Linked DNA regions of Rhinolophus ferrumequinum. The protein of the gene in region 1 interacts with the protein of each later gene in a biochemical or structural test. Links are inferred from orthologs where the notes say so. Each region holds a gene or a part of one and is shown in the gene's direction. Other genes may lie near its edges.

Region 1 (7,702 bases):
AAGCACTGTAAGGAAAATTGACAATGACTAAAAAGTAAAAGGTATCTTAACTAGCTCATCTATCTGGGTTAATCTATGACTTTCATTGTCTTTGATTTAGCTATTTGCAACTCTGATAGAAGTTGCAGAAAACTGATGGCAATGCAAACCATTCATAATTATAAGTAAATAAATTATTTCAGGTGGAGGATCAACTGCCTCCCTTCCTCCACTGTGGAAGAAGTCAGTTTTGCAGTTATTAAGCTAATTCATTTCAGCATCCTCCTGGGCTTACATATTTATCTTGATCTTTGGATTCTCCTTTGAAGTGGTTGTAACATCTTTCTGGTTCCCTTGTTCACTAATGTGTTAAATAAAATCTTTGACACGTGTTCATTGTACATTTGTTGAGAGCCATGATTTTAACTTTCTTTAAAAAAAAACAAAAACTATCCTATCCAAAATCCATAACACCATCAACACCAAATGCTGGCCTAGTTGTGGAGCAACAGAAATTCTCATTGTTGGTGGGAATGCAAAAGGGTACAGCCACTTTGGGAAACAGTTTGGCAGTTTCTTATAAAACTAAATATACTCTTACCATGCAATCCAGCAATTTTGCTCCTTGGTATTTACCCAAAGGAGTTGAAAACATGCCCACACAAAAACCTGCACATGGATGTTTATAGCACCTTTACTCACAGTTGTCAAAATTCATAAGCAACCAAGATGTCCGTCAATAGATGATGGATAAATAAACTGTGGTACATCCAGACAATGGGATATTATTCCATGCTAAAAAGAAATGAGCTATCAAGTCATGAAAAGACATGGAATAACCTTAAATGTTTACTACTAAGTGAAAGAAGCCAATCAGAAAAGGCTGTATGATTCCAACTGTATGACATTGTGAAAAAGACAAAAATATGGAGACAGTAAAAACACCATTGGTTGCAAAGGGTTGGGAGGGTGGAAGGATGAATAGAAGGGGCACAGAGAATTTTTAGGGCAGTAAAGATACTATGTATGATACCATAATGCGGATACATTGCCATTCAATATATATTTGTCTAAACCCATAGAAAGCACACCACCACAAGGGAACTATGTAAACTGTGGCCTTTGGGTGATTAACTATGGCCTTTGGGTGATTAAGATGTATCAATGTAGGTTCATTCATTGTAACAAATATACCATCTGGTGGGGGACGCTAAAAGAAGAGGCTATGAGGGCAGAAGGTATATGGAAAATCTCTGTACCTTCCCCTAATTTTGCTGTGAACCTAAAACTGCTCTTAAAAAAAAAAAAAAAAAAAGGAGCCTTAACAAAAACAAAAAATTTAAAACCATCCTTTAACAGTATTTGGCATAGAACTTGGCACAAGGTAGACATGCAATAAATATTTGTTGATGATTGAATTAATTAATTAATTGATTAATGGATTTAAACAAGTACATAAGTTCTTGCCACGGATGATTCATTGTGAAGGAAGGATGTGAAATACTAGTGTGATGCTTAGGTACTATTCCAAAGATGAAATCAAAATGGGAAAGTCCCCCTAATCCTTTGGGAGATGCCAGCAAGAAGGGGCTGTAAGGGATGTGGAGATCCTGTGTCTGAGAGAGGACGGAGACGCCTCCACACACAGGCTGTGTCAGAGGCCATGAAGGCTGCTGGTGTGGAATCATGGTAGGAAATAAGCAACGCCATTTAAATCAAGACTCCTGTTTCCTTTCCCTCTGCTGTAGACAGAGCCCAAGACCTGCAGGTTTTCTCCTGCACTGGGCCATTGAAAACCTATCCAGGGGCCGGCCTGGTGGCTCAGACGGTTGGAGCTCCGTGCTCTTAACTCCGAAGGCTGCTGGTTCTATTCCCATATGGGCCCTTAGGCTCTCAACCACAAGGTTGCCGGTTCAATTCCTCGAGTCCCACAAGGGATGGTGGGCTCTGCCCCCTGCAACTAAGATTAACATGGCACCTTAAGCTGAACTGCCTCCTGGATGGCTTAGTTGGTTGGAGCGTGGGGCTCTCAACCACAAGGTTGCCAGTTCGATTCCTCAAGTCCCTCAAGGGATGGTGGGCGCCCCTTGCAACTAGCAACGGCAACTGGACCTGGAGCTGAGCTGCACCCTCCACAACTAAGATTGAAAGGACAACAGCTTGATTGAAAAAAGTCCTGGAAGTACACACTGTTCCCCAATAAAGTCCTGCTCCCCTTCTCCAATAAAATCTTAAAAAAAAAAAAAAAAAACCTATCCAGATATAAAATAATATGTCACTCTGGCATTTTTAGTTAGAGTACTATCTATAGAGAGATTGGGTGAAGGGAAAAAAATCTATGAGTCAGTTTCAAGGCTTGTGTTTTGAAGATTACATCAATGGATTTCCATAGAATGAAACCACAGCTTCCTGCCAATTGTCTGGATTCACAAAGATCTATGTCACTTTTAAATAATGAGGAAGAACTCCCAAGTATATTATCTATAGACATGCATGAACATTTTTTTTTTTTTAAGGAGGGCGCAGCTCACAGTGGCCCATGCAGGGATTGAAGCGGCAACCTTGGTGTTATCAGCACCACACTCTAACCACCTGAGCTAACCGGCTATCCCCTTGACATGCATGAACTTTTAAGGGGCATTTAAAAGCCAGCTCTCCACTCTGTTTTTCTCCCATCTTTATATAAATGGTTGATATATAGAAAAGGAAGCTATATTGCTGTTTATTATATATGTGTGTGTAATTTAAGTCTCACAACAATCCTTTGAAGCAGGTACTATTATATCTTCCGCTTTTTACAGATGTGGAAATTGAAGCTGAGAGGTTAAATAACTTACTTAAAGTCATACCACTAATAAGTGGCTGCATCAATATTCAAATTCTGGGCAAATTCTAAAGATCACATTCTTGCTACCATACTATTATGCCCCATAGAGAACCACAGAAGTGAAATTGCATAATAAAAATATTAACATTTGGTTGGGAGGGGAAAAAGACTAGTCATAAAAGGTAATGTCAGCCGAAGGTAGAGGCTGGAGTGCGGTGAATGCATAGGTTATAAAATTGCTAGGTGGAAAAAAGGATCTGGCCTAGAATGAGATAAGAAAGGCGCTTGTCTTAGGTGTCTTGGAGTCGATAGGAGAAGCAAGGGAGGAGGTGGGACGCCCCTGATCAAATTGGGAAGGATACTCACAGGGTACATAGGTACCCACTTTAACCCGTAGGCACATACGAGAAGCTATATCAGCAACACCTTGCATATGGTAGACTTAGAAAAAGGAAGTCTGTTGAATCTCAATTTTAAAAGACTAGAAACTAGACTCATAAACTAGACCAATAAAGACTGGAAGACTTGATTTCCATAATTGGTCCATGTAGTTAATAGACTCAAAATATTTGTTCAATGATTGAGGACAAAACAGAAAGGCACTGGAAGTGACTGGGAAAAATTTACCAAGGCAAACAGTATGAAAGAAGCTTTTGCATTTGCAAGGATAATAGCTATCGGTTATTATTCACTATGTATGAGCCAAGCAGAATACGTGCTTAATATACATCAACTCCTTTAAATCTGGTAACCACTCTATATATACTATATTTTCAGTCCCATTTTAACAGATGAGACAGAGAATTAAGTCACTTATTCAAGGTCATAAAACTAGAATCGAGCAGCTTTTTCTGGACCCAAAGGTTCTGCAGTTCGCCATTATACTGCATTCTGAACTCCGAATTTACACTGTACACCAATGGCTTGTACTAGAATGTGGTGGAGACTGTATGGGGCATCTACCTCCCCAAAAGTAGAAAATTTGGGTGTCCAAATTATTGCTACCAAAAATCCTGCTGTCCTGTGGGATGAAAAAGCTGATGCACGAGAAATTGGGCCAGGAAGCCTTGTGTCTGGGTAATACCTGGCTGGTCACACTTTGTTAAATTGCTTGCTTTTGTCCCAAACGACCCTATAGTTTTCAATGGGACAACGACCTTGAATATTGCTAAGCTTGGGAAAACGAGCTTAGGTGACGTCTGCATTTATCTCATCTATTCTGGACCCTTCCAGGGGAGGATATTCTCTCTAAGGTTGCCTGCTTTGATTTATGAAGATTGTGGGTGGCAGTCTGACTTGGAGGAAACCAGGCGATTCCTGCTAAAAACAATCACTTCCAACATCTCATTCGTTTTAAATAGGCCACAGCCTAGCTAACAAAAAAAAAAAAAAAAGGCATAAATTTCGGGCAACTTCCATTAAGTATCCGGATGCCTGGCATCACTTCTCTTCACAACGCACACACACCAATCCCTGAAACCAGGAAGCCTCCGCTGAGGTTGCCCAATGCGGGCGCTGGTGGCGTCGCCCTGCACACTGAGTCAGCGGAGCGCGCCCCGGGAGCAAGCGGCCAGGAACTGGAGAGCTGCGTGCTCCCGTGTTTGGCGTGAGGCAATCCTCCTCCCACGGTCTCGGGAAGCCCCGACGCCACAGGCTTCCTCGCCGTAGTGGAGCCGCCTCGGCGTAGTTCCTCCGCGGCTTCCTCCTACAGCGGCAACCACCCAACCCTTCCTGCTCCGCCAGGACTCCACCTCCCCAGGTTTGAAGCGCGCGCCTCACGGAGCGCGGAGCCGGCAGAGAGGGCCAGGGAGGCGCGCGGCTTGTGCGCACGCGCGCAGTGGGCGGCCCCGCCCCCGCCTCCAGGCCCCGCCTCCTCGGGGCGGCTGGGGCGGCTGGCGCGGCCGGTCTGCCCGGCTCCTCTTTGCAAACCTGTCTCCCGCGGGGCGGGGAGCGGAGCTTCCTCATCCGAGTGCGGTGCAGCGCCGCCGAATTAGTCCTTCCGCCCCCGCCGCCGCGGTGCCCAGGCGAGCGAGGGGGCGAGCGGAAGGTGCGCTGGAGCCGAGACCCGCGATGTGGCCCGCGGGAGCAGCGGCAGTGGCGGGGTCGCCGGCGCGGGACATGTCGCGGTGCGTGGATCTGCTGCAGGCCCTGGCGCCCCTGGCCTCGCAGCCGCCTCCGGCCGCACCCTCGGGGCCGCCGCTCCCAGCTCCGGCCAGCGCGACCCTCAACCGCCTTCCGGAGCCGCTGCTGCGGAGGCTCAGCGGGGTCTTGGACCGAGCGCCCGAGGGCCGCGGTTGGAGGAGGCTGGCGGAGTTGGCCGGGAGTCGGGGGCGCCTCCGGCTGAGGTGAGGCGCCGGGGGGGTGGGGGGGGGGGCGGTGCTCAGGGGTGGGGTCACGTGGGGTGGACTTGGGCTCGGGGCGCGAGGGCAGTGTGGGGGGGCACCCTGGTGGGAGGGTGGACCCTGATGCTGGAGAGCATCGGGGCCATGCGAGACGGTGCAAGGGCCGCTGATGTGGAAGGAGGAAAGGACGTGGGGACAACTCCAGTCATCTTCCAGAAAGAGAGAGCCTTCCCCCAGCAAAGCCCTGGGAATATTGGAGCTTGGATATTGAACCCCGGTGTTCACACCCTTTTCCGACGCTCCCCCCCGGGAGCTGACAGAGAAAAGTCGAGGTTGACCTAGGAGTATATTGAGAGGAGGAAGGCTGTCAGGAGAGCGTTGTGACAGGCAGTGACTCGGAAGGACTTCAAATGCAAACTAGCGGGACACGGGCACAGACCTGGAAGGCCTGAGGAAGGTTAGCGAGAAGTGCATGCAGGTAAAGAGGTAATGGAAGAGTTTGGGGTGCAGGAGTTCATGATGGTTTTTATGTAGGGAGAGGGGGATGGTGGAAAAAACAAACTGAACTCTCCATCTTCCTCCATCAAACCTACTTACCAAGTCCTTTTCACGACTTCGCTATGAACATGTATAAGTAAAACTATTTTCCTGCTACCAGCCTTGGAACCGCTGTGCTAGTGGTTCTTGAACTTTTGGTCCCTGGACTCCTTTAAACTCTTAATTATGAAAACCCCAGAGCGTTTTTAATGTGGGTTCTATGTATTCCATACATATAATATATACTGATATTTCCCATGTTAGAAATTAAAACTAAGAAATTTCTAAAATATTAACTTCTTGAAAAAGAATAACCCATTACATGTTAACAGAAACTACATGTGGAAAAACAAACTTTTCCAAAACAAATAGTTTAGAAAACGCACTGTTTCACATTTTGAAAATCTCTTTAATGTCTTGGCCTAACTACGGAGGGCTGGCTGCGTTTATGTGCCTCTGCATTCAGTGTGTTGCACTCTCACAGATTATGTAATGCCAGACACTCCAATGTACACTCCTGGCAGAGTGAATGAGAAAGATAAATGACATCTTAGTATGAAAAATCATTTTGACCTTCTGGGTCCTGTGAAAGGGTCTCAGGACCTGCATGAGGGTTTCCCAGATCACACTTGAACCATTACTCTATATCATTGGCATGATTTTGGTCTGCCTTTGAACCCTTTAGCAGTTCTTTTAACTTCTCATGTGACTAAGCTTTGTCTTGTACTGTAATTATTCATATACTTCTTTATAAACCTGTTGCGAACAGGAACCATAGCTTAAGAGTGTATCATGCATAGAAGTTATATTACACACTCTATAAATACTTTTGAATTGAGAGGGGAGACATTCACTCAAAGTTATAGTTATTGAGTGCCTATTATTTGCTAGAAGTTCCAGAAGATAAAAAGAAGACAGATATTTAGTTCTTATTCATAAAGGCTAACTCGTAATGAACTGTCATTCTGGAACAGTCACAAATAACATGTTAAGTGCTATGTTGGGTGTGAATGATAGTAACAAATGTTTATCATTTATTAAGCACTTAGAATAGACCAGTGTACTGTTTGCATGGATTATCTACTTGAACCCTCACAACAACCTTCAGTTTCAGAGTTTGGGGTTAAACCAGAATCTGGGAGTATTTGGCCACACAGAGGAGTAACAATAGAGGATGGGATCAAGAAGTTGTAAACTGGCAAAGATGAGCAGACAAATGGTATAATTTTTTTCTGTTCTAGGAAATTGTCCTTTTGGCTACGGAAAGAGAATCCAAAATACTATTATTCTAGGTCCATAGATTTCTGAATTTCTAGACTTACAATAATGTGAAAAGTTGTTTTCTTTGGGGGTCAGACCACCAGATCTGTGATTAGTTAACTGGTGCTATTAACTAGTTCTGTAGTTACTGAAGGCTCTGGCCTTTCCTAAACAGGGAAGGGCCTGGTAGCAAGGGCTCCTATTTGTGATGAGAGAAGAAAGTAAGGCCCTGCCACTGAAGAAGCATGGCTGATGGAATCTAAGAGTAGTGGATACCCCAAGCCTTCAGTGAGGTTTTGTTAAAGGCTGTAGAACTGTGTTAGCTTTCTTTGGGGGAACTAACAGAAAATTCTGAACTCACATTTCTAGTGAAGCTAGTATAGACAGAAGGGCAGTTGCCTACCAAGAAGTGACAAGCAACAGAAGGCGTGCATTTGTGGAATCTGGGAATTCCAGCGTGGGAAGTCTGATAAGAGAGGTGGAGTTTCACCAGTCTGCTAGGATGCTGAGGGTTATAGTTCATAGTAGGTTAGTTGTGGTGAGAAGAGCCGGGGCACCCTGAAGGTTGAAGAATTGGGGGACGTGAAGCTCATATACCTGTTGAAATCGGGATTAAACTGACATAACAAAAGGTTAGCACTGGGAACTTGGGGGCTAGAGAGGGACAAAGGAGGGGGCAAGGAAAGCTGGTGATGCTTATTCTGTTTAAGACAAAAAGTTATTTTAACGTAATTTCATGCTAATAGCAGAAGAGTGT
Region 2 (7,948 bases), on another chromosome or scaffold:
CCACCACCGCTACCACCAGGGAAGAGGCCTCCATGCCCCTGCCTGCCAAGCCCACCCAAGAGGCCAGCTCTGCTACCACCGAGCCCCAGGAAGTCCCTCCAAAGCCAGCAGAGGACAAGAAAAGGGATTAACCGTTCCTGGTCCTGCTCGTCCACTCCGGCCCCTGGTGACCACAGCCCCCACTGCCCCGGGCCCCTCGCCTCCCTTCCCTGTCGCCCTTCCCCTGGACAGATCGTGCTGGGGCGGCAGGGGGCCCCCCTTGGACCAGGGCCCAGCGCGTGGTGTAGGGGCTGGGGCAGGCCAGAGCACGTGGTTTGTGGAGGCACCGTCTGTCTGTTCCTGTGTTTCTAGCCATCTTGCCCCGCCAGCCCAGCACCACTGGGAATCATGGTGAAGCCCACACAGTGCTGCCGAGGAGTGGGCCAGGCGGGGGAGGTGCCAGGGCCCCTCTGGGATGCCCATGGCCATCCATCATCTTGTCCCTCGTCCCGCGACCATCCCCCTCCTCCCAGACCGCCGCCCTTTAACACAGTCTGGATTTAATAAATGTGGGTGTTTAACTTAAACTCGACAACCCCCCCTCTAGCCTTCCTTCCTCTGTCACCTTGGAGAGCAGGTATGAGTGGTTCTCCCAGGTCTGGGAGGGAGACCTGCAGTTTGCAGGACCCAGTGAGGTGGGGACAGTCACCCTCTGTGCCATGCCCCTTTTTCACCCTTCTCCCCCTCCCAGCAGCCCTCTGAGGGGGCTTTTATAACTGTCCCCGTTTCACAGATGGGGAAGCTGCTTGCCATGACCCCGCTGCACCTATGCTCTTACCCACAAGGCTGTATCTGGCCAGCTGAGGCTTGGCGCCTCGCCTCTGCCCAGTGATTCTCTCCGGGCCTCATGCCGCCAGGCAGGGCAGGAGCGCAGACCTGCCTTGTGAGCAGACACCCCCTGCCCGATACAGGCTTTATTCAGTGGTCCTGGGACCCTGGATGCCTGACTTCCCTTCTCTGGGCTTATGGGCTCACCTCCCAGGGTCATAGCAGGGGTACAGGGGAAATCCTCGCTCAGAGTGCTGCTCAGCCGTAGCACCCGGAGCTGTTGGGGTATCACTCGCATCCCCAGGGCTGCCAGCACCGAGGACCCAGCCAAGCTCTTAGTGGGTCATGCACATGTCTTCCCGAAACCGGGTGCTGGGGCTGTTCACCCACTTTATAGGTGAGGAAACTGAGGCCTCTGGGCGTCCCTGCGTTCCAAGGGCGTTGAGCCCACATTCCCTGATTTACTTCTGGGGAAGGTGGTCTTAACATGGTGGTGAGAGGAGGCCCGTGGCTGAGGACCACAGCAGCCTCCCTCGGGTTCCACCTGTCTCCCACCGCGCCCTGCAGAGCCAGGCAGGGAATCCAGGAGGTCCCGGGAGATGGTGCCTGCACAGGCCCACGTGTGTACACACATGCACGTGCACACAATCACGTACACATGCACAGGCTCCTCCTCCGCTGAGGGAGCCACAGCCCGCTCCAGTCCCTCCCGTTCTGTACTATTCCATGGCTCCCAGTGCCCTAGGAGAAACCCAGGCTCCCAACAGGGCTGCTCTGCTGAGGCCCGGGCGTGTGGGCTCTCCGGCCACCTCCTCACTGGCCTCATCTCCCCTGGCTCCTCCCACAGCCTTTGCAAAGCCCATCAGCTGTACCCCAAAGTCACTCAGGAGTCTCACCTCTTCACTTCCACTGAGACCACCTGGTCCAGGCTCCAACTCGCCCCTGCAGGATCCCCACCCAGCCTCCTCCCTAGTGTCCTCTCCCAGTCCTGCGCCTTTCATTCACTCTCCATCCAGCAGCCAGAGAGAATTTTCTAAAGCACAAACCTGACCCTACCTGTCCCCTGCTCAGAACCTACCATGGCTCCCCTTAGGAGAAGAGCACAGGCTCCTAACTGATGAGCAAGACCTTGAGGAGAGGGGTCTTCTTGAGCTCTAGAACCTCATCTCCCTTGTTTTAACTTGCTGTGATCTCTTACCTCCTGGCTCTAGACTATGCTCTTCCCTTACCTGGGGACACAGGTAAGGCACATAACTCTACCTTACTCTCTGCATCTTTCAGGTTGCGGCTCCGATGTCTCCTGCAGGAAGCCCTCCCTGACCACGCCCTCTGAGCCTCCCCAGCTTCCCAGGCTCCACATCCCAGCCCTGCTTACTATGGGACAGGTCATTCCACACATGGGGACTGAGTCCCATGAAGACAGAGCTAGGGCTGTCTTGGTCACTGCTGTGTCCTGGGCACAGTGGAGGTGCTCCGGGAATGTTTGCTGAGTGTGTGTATATTTGCACAGACACACACACACACACACACACATCTAGAAGTGTGGACCTTGATGGGGCCCACATTGACCCTGGTGGAGAGACTGACATGCAGTCAGTCAACAAATGGTTCCGAGCCCCTCCCCTGGACGTTGCCCTAAGCTCGGGGTGGGGGGTTCTATGTATACAGCAGGGACCAAGACAGCCCCAGGCCTGCCCTCAAGGAGCTCAGAGCCCAGTAGAAATCCTGAGCGCTGAGGATTTCTGACACATCCTTTTGCTTATTCACCCAACAAACAGTTGGGAGGCCTGACGTTGGCAAAGGGCAGAGGGTAGTCAGGTGGGCTCCTGGTCCTATAATAGCCACTAATCTACACTCCTTATGAGCCAAGTTCTAGTGCAAGTGCTGTACGTGGTTTGCGTCATCCATTAAATTTAATACTGATGTTCCCATCACCTTACAGGCCATTGCTCTACCCTCATCTCCACTATTTCCCCAGCAGTCTCTCCACTTCCAGCCTGCTTGCTGTTCATTGAATATGCCATGCATGTTCCCAACTTAGGGCCTTTGTACTTGCTGTTCCCTGTGTCTTGAATAATCTTCCCTAGATATCCACATGGATCCTTCCCCTTTCAGCTCTCTGCTCAAATGTCATGCCGGACCCTCCCTCAGCTTCCTAACCCTCCAACTTCAATCCATATATCCTGCCTTATTTTCTGTAGTACTGCCACCACCCCCAGACATGTATTTGCGTATCTGTTTTCCATCTGTCTCCCCCACTTGGATTTCAGGGCCACGATGGCAGGAGCTTTTGTCTGTTAGGTCCCTTGCTGTGTCCCAACCTTTTGGAATAATGCTTGGCACCATTATACTGTGTGTAGTAATAACTCTAAATCAAATGTTCACAAGAGCAGATGAGAAAACAAACCTAAAAAAGCAAGTAGTCTGTCCAAAGTAATGTGACTCAAGTATTCAGAACACAAAGTGCTTAGAACAGTGCCCAGCACATATAAGAGCTATATACAAATGCCAAGTAGTATTAGTATCTTGCATAATCCTCACAACCACCCTATTATTAGACCCATTTTATAGATTAGGCTTAGAGTGATAAAGTCAATTGCCCGAGGTCACACAGCTGTTAAATGGGAGACCTAGGATTTGAACCCAGGCAGTCTGATTCTGGACCCTCAATCATAACCTCTTGCAATGCTCTTGTCATATGCAGACTACAGCTTGCAGGCAAAATCCAGTCTTTTCCAGCTTTTGTATAATTTTTACATTTTTAAGTGGCTAAAAGCTCAAGAACATTTCATGTGAAAATTACACAAAATTCAAATGTCAATATCTAATATTTCATAGGAACACAGCCACGCTCATTGTTTCTGTACTGTCTGGCTGTTTTTGTGCTATGGCAGAGTTGAGCACTGAGACCATCTGGTCCTCAAAGCCTAAGCATAACAACATATTTGCTATCTGGCCCTTTGCAGTTTTTAAAACATTTGCTTGGTATTTTGTTGTCTAGCAGTAGTTCTCCAACTTGAGCTTATATCCACATCACCTGAAGGGCTGGGGGGCCACACTTTCAGAACTGCTGCTGTACACTATTCTGCCTCCCAGGAGGAGGTACCAGGCCTGGCTTGGTGAGTGCTGTGCCCCAGTGCCCAGTGCAGTCTCTGGCAAAGAGCAAGTACTCAGTAAAGTGTACGTCCAATGAATCAATGAGTCTGTGTGGGCCATGGAGAGAAGAGGAATGCTCAAATTTTACACATGAGCAGACATAGCACTCTGTGATGTGAGGGTGCCTCACATCCAAGTTGGAACCTAATGATCACTCATTCTCAAGGGTGGAAGGCTTTAGAAATATGATCTAACCAAATGGCTGCCCCTTCTTGAGCTTCGGTCTCCTCTCTGAAAGACTCCTAATTCTATCACGTGCTTCTGATGTTACCGCAAGGTCTGAAGCATCTGTGAGGCTCCCAGGTAAACTCTTTGCCCAGGGGTCAGGCACACAGCTCAGTACGTACTTTGGGGCTACACTGTTACCATTCCCAGACTCAGTTGCTGAGCCTTGGATCTTCAAATGCTCTGGGCTATTAGAAAACTTGAAGGGGGGGCTGTTGGGGAGGAATAACACATCCATCCATTCATTCAGTAAACATTTACTGGGAACCTACTCTGCAGGCGCTGTGCCAGGAGCAGGGGATACAGCAAGGAACAAAACAGACATATCCCAGAGCTAACAGTCTAGCTTTAAACGTTTAAGTATCTTCACTCCCAATTTTCAGTTGAAAACGAGGCGTAGAGAAACCATGGAGGCTTCGTAAAGATCATTATTATCAATGACAGTTGTAGAGACCTGGCAACCTCTGATCCAAAGCTTCCCTTCCAACCAGAGAAACAACAGGTTCAAGTTCCGCTGGCAGACTTGGGGGGCGGGCCTCAGTTTCCCCGACTTGATCCATGGGTGGGCGTCAGTGGCCCTAAGCAAGCCTTAGTTGTCTCCGCCAGAGCTCTATGGCCAGCAGCGCAGGCCCCTCCCGAGAGCCCAGCCTCCTCTTCCCGGCCGGCCCCGCCCCCGCAATCACGTGACGCGTGGGGGTTTTCCCGTTCCCCCTTGCGTGACGTCACGACAGGGTGCAAGCCAATGAGCCCGCAGGCCCGCGGCGCCGGGGAATTCCGCCGCCCCGCCCCCGCCCGCCGCTCGCCCGGCCCGGCCCGCGGCCCCCCGCAGCCCCGGGCGCCGCGCGTCCTGCCCGGCTTGCGGCCCCAGCCCCTGCGCCGGTCGCCCGACCCGCGATCGTCCGCCGGACTGTGCCGCCTGGCCACCGGCCTGCCCTCGTGTGTGTTTTGGTCTGGGCCGGCCTCTGGGCCGTCCGTCCCCACTGGTCGAGCCATGCCGAGTCGCCGCGCCGCCAGACCGTCCACTGCGCCGGAGCTGGGGGCCTTGGGTAAGCGGGGCCAGGCTGGAGTTCAGGAGAGGAGTCTGTGGCGGGACTGGAGATGCGAGGGTTCTGGGGGACCCGGACTAATCTGGGGGTTCCTACAGGAGTCTAGGGGTTTTGCGGGGAGAGTGTGAGGGTTTGGGGGACACTGTATTAGAGGGAAGGAAGGAGGCAGAGGATGGTGACGGGGTCCGGTGCAAGGTAAGAGAGAGGCGTCCCACTACAGAGTGAGGAGGGGGCGGGGCCTGACCCTGAGGCAAAGAAGGGGGCGGGGCCCGACTCCGGGAGGGGTGGGGCTGGGAGCTGCTCCTGAGGGGTAGGGACCCGGCCAGACTCTGAGAGGGCGAAAAAGGAGGGGCTTGGCTCACATGAGGGGCGGGGCCTGACTCCAAGAAGGAAGCAGTTTCCTACTCAGAGTAAGGGGCAGGGCCTGGGCGAAAGTAGGGGGCGAGGGCAGACTCCTAAAGAGAGAAGGGGCGGGGCCTGACTCTGGTGGAGAGAAGAGGGAGGGCCTGTTCTGGAAGAAGGGCGGGGTCTGGCTCAGAGAAGAAAGAGGGGGTGGGGTTTGCCTCGGAGAGTAGTGGTCTGAGAGGAGAAAGGGACAGGCTTGACACTGAAAAAGTGAAGGGGTAGGGTCTGACCCCAAAAGAATGAAGGGGACGGTGGCTTTCCTAACAAGTTGAGAAGGGCTTCTCCGGACCCGACCTTTAGGTAAAGAAGGAGCGGGGCCTGAGTGTGATGAAGGGTGGGGTGAGTGACAAAAACAAGGGGACCAGTCCACGAGTTAGGGAAGGAGGCAAGGACAGACTCTTTGGGCGACAAAGGGTCAGTGCCAGGAGAGGAAGGGGGTAGGGTTGAGAGATTCTGTGGGATCCTCATCATCTCCTGAGACTTGCCTCCCTCCCTGCAGGGTCCGCGGACCTGTCTTCGCTCTCGCTGGCCGTTTCCAGGACCACAGGTGAGCAGCCCTCCACAGTTCCTGCCCACCTGCACACTCAGGACGGGGAAGGGGGGACTCCATTGGACAGGCCTCTGTCTGGGGGTTTCACCGAGATCCACCTGAGCTTCCTTGACGGTGTCCCTCCCTGCTGGTTGAGATGGGGGTTCCAGATGCCCCTACCTCCCAGGTAATTAGGCGCTGGATAAAACTAAGCACCTATTCACATTCTAAGGGGAGTCCTCTATAGAGATTCACCGTGGTAGTAAAAATCTCCATCTCCGGCTTTGGGGCTGGGATTTACATTCTGGTGCCACCCCTTCCCCCTCACTGTGTGAATGCCTACAAGTCATTTCCCCTCTCTGGGCTTCAGTGTTCCTCATCTGTAAGATGGGCATAATATCAGTACCTCCCTTTTAGGGGATCCAGAGGATTCAGTGAGCTGATACAGGTAAATTTTCAAAGCAGTGTCTGGCACACAGCAAAGGCTCAATAAATGTTAACTGTTAGCGGTATAATAATAATATAATACAATAATAATAACTAGTATTATTAGGCAGTCTGTAACAGTGGTTCTTAAACCTTTGTGTGCATCAGAGTCACCTCGAGAGCGTGTTAAAACAGATTGCTGGGCCCCATCTCCAGAGTTTCTGATTCAGTAGGTCTACGATGGGTTCTGAGAGTTTGCATTTCTAACAAGTTCCCAAGAAATGCTGAGAACCACTAGTTATACAGTCCCTCAGCCTGTGCCATCCAAAATTCAGTGCTGCCCAAAGACATGCAGAATCATGGCCAAATGACAACATCCTCTCTCTTATAAATGTGCTGAGATTTGGAGGGTAGGGGTGAGTCCACATGAAAACTCAGTGGCCCCAGAAGGCTGCGTCTGAGCTTCTCTCTGGAGGTAGAATCTTGGGATGGCCCCTAGAAGTGCTGGCCTGGCTGTGGAGGAGACTCTGTGGGTTCTCTCACAGGTCTGTGAGTTGGGGGGTGTTGAAAGGTGGGAGGTGGTATTTGGGACGGGTACTTCTCAAGCGCTGGTTCTGGGCAGGAACAAGGCTGAGACTTTTCTGGCCTGAGACCTAGATCTTTGGTTTCAATTGAGGTTAATTTCTGATGTCACCCATTCAATAAATATTTATTGAGTATCTGTTCTGTACCTGGCCTGGTGCTGGGCAGTGCTGGGGACTCATCAGTGACTAAGACAGCCTTGACTCTGCCCTCATGGGGTTCCTTACCTAGATGTGGAGGCAGACATGTAAACAATAAACTAAATAATTAAATTATAAAATGTGATAAAGGTTATAAAGAAATCTTGGGGTCAGTGACATCGCTTAGCAGGGTGGGGATGGGAGGCCTGCTTAAATAGAGTGGGAGGGAAAATTTCTCTCATTTTGATGGGCCAGATACATACTGGGCCCTGGGTATACAGTGGGGATGAGGCAGACATTTCCCCACTCTGTGGGACTTACTATAGGAGACAGATATGAATCACTGTAACGTAAAGTAATGTAAAATCCCAATCATCCCATATAAATGATAAAACAAAGACACCTAACTGTAAGTGACTGGAGTGGGGATTCTGGGGGCTACCTGGGGGTACAGTGGTCAGGGAAGACCTATCTAGGAGGTGACATTTGGGCAGGGAACTGAAAGAAGAGGAGGAGGCCATGCAAAGAACTGGAAGAAGAGCATTCTGGCAGAGACCAACCTGTACAAAGGCCCTGAGGCAGGAAAGACATAGCTGGCTTTCTGCTTTCACATCTCCTCAAGCGTGGCCTAC

Evidence for each region.
Region 2: of the proteins of MALT1 (region 1) and RELB, one has a biochemical effect on the other in vitro, tested with the Homo sapiens proteins (2 studies listed by BioGRID). The link is inferred for Rhinolophus ferrumequinum from reciprocal best matches to the Homo sapiens genes MALT1 and RELB.

The regions. Positions count from the first base shown.
Region 1 is NC_046302.1:47,376,181-47,383,882, forward strand, and holds the start of MALT1 (mucosa-associated lymphoid tissue lymphoma translocation protein 1), read left to right. Parts: upstream 1-4,655; 5' UTR 4,656-4,876; coding exon 4,877-5,151; intron 5,152-7,702. UniProt on the Homo sapiens protein: Protease that enhances BCL10-induced activation: acts via formation of CBM complexes that channel adaptive and innate immune signaling downstream of CARD domain-containing proteins (CARD9, CARD11 and CARD14) to activate NF-kappa-B and MAP kinase p38 pathways which stimulate expression of genes encoding pro-inflammatory cytokines and chemokines.
Region 2 is NC_046298.1:41,469,180-41,477,127, forward strand, and holds the start of RELB (transcription factor RelB), read left to right. Parts: upstream 1-4,930; coding exon 4,931-5,234; intron 5,235-6,138; coding exon 6,139-6,186; intron 6,187-7,948. Other genes in the region: putative lipid scramblase CLPTM1, read left to right, coding at 1-131.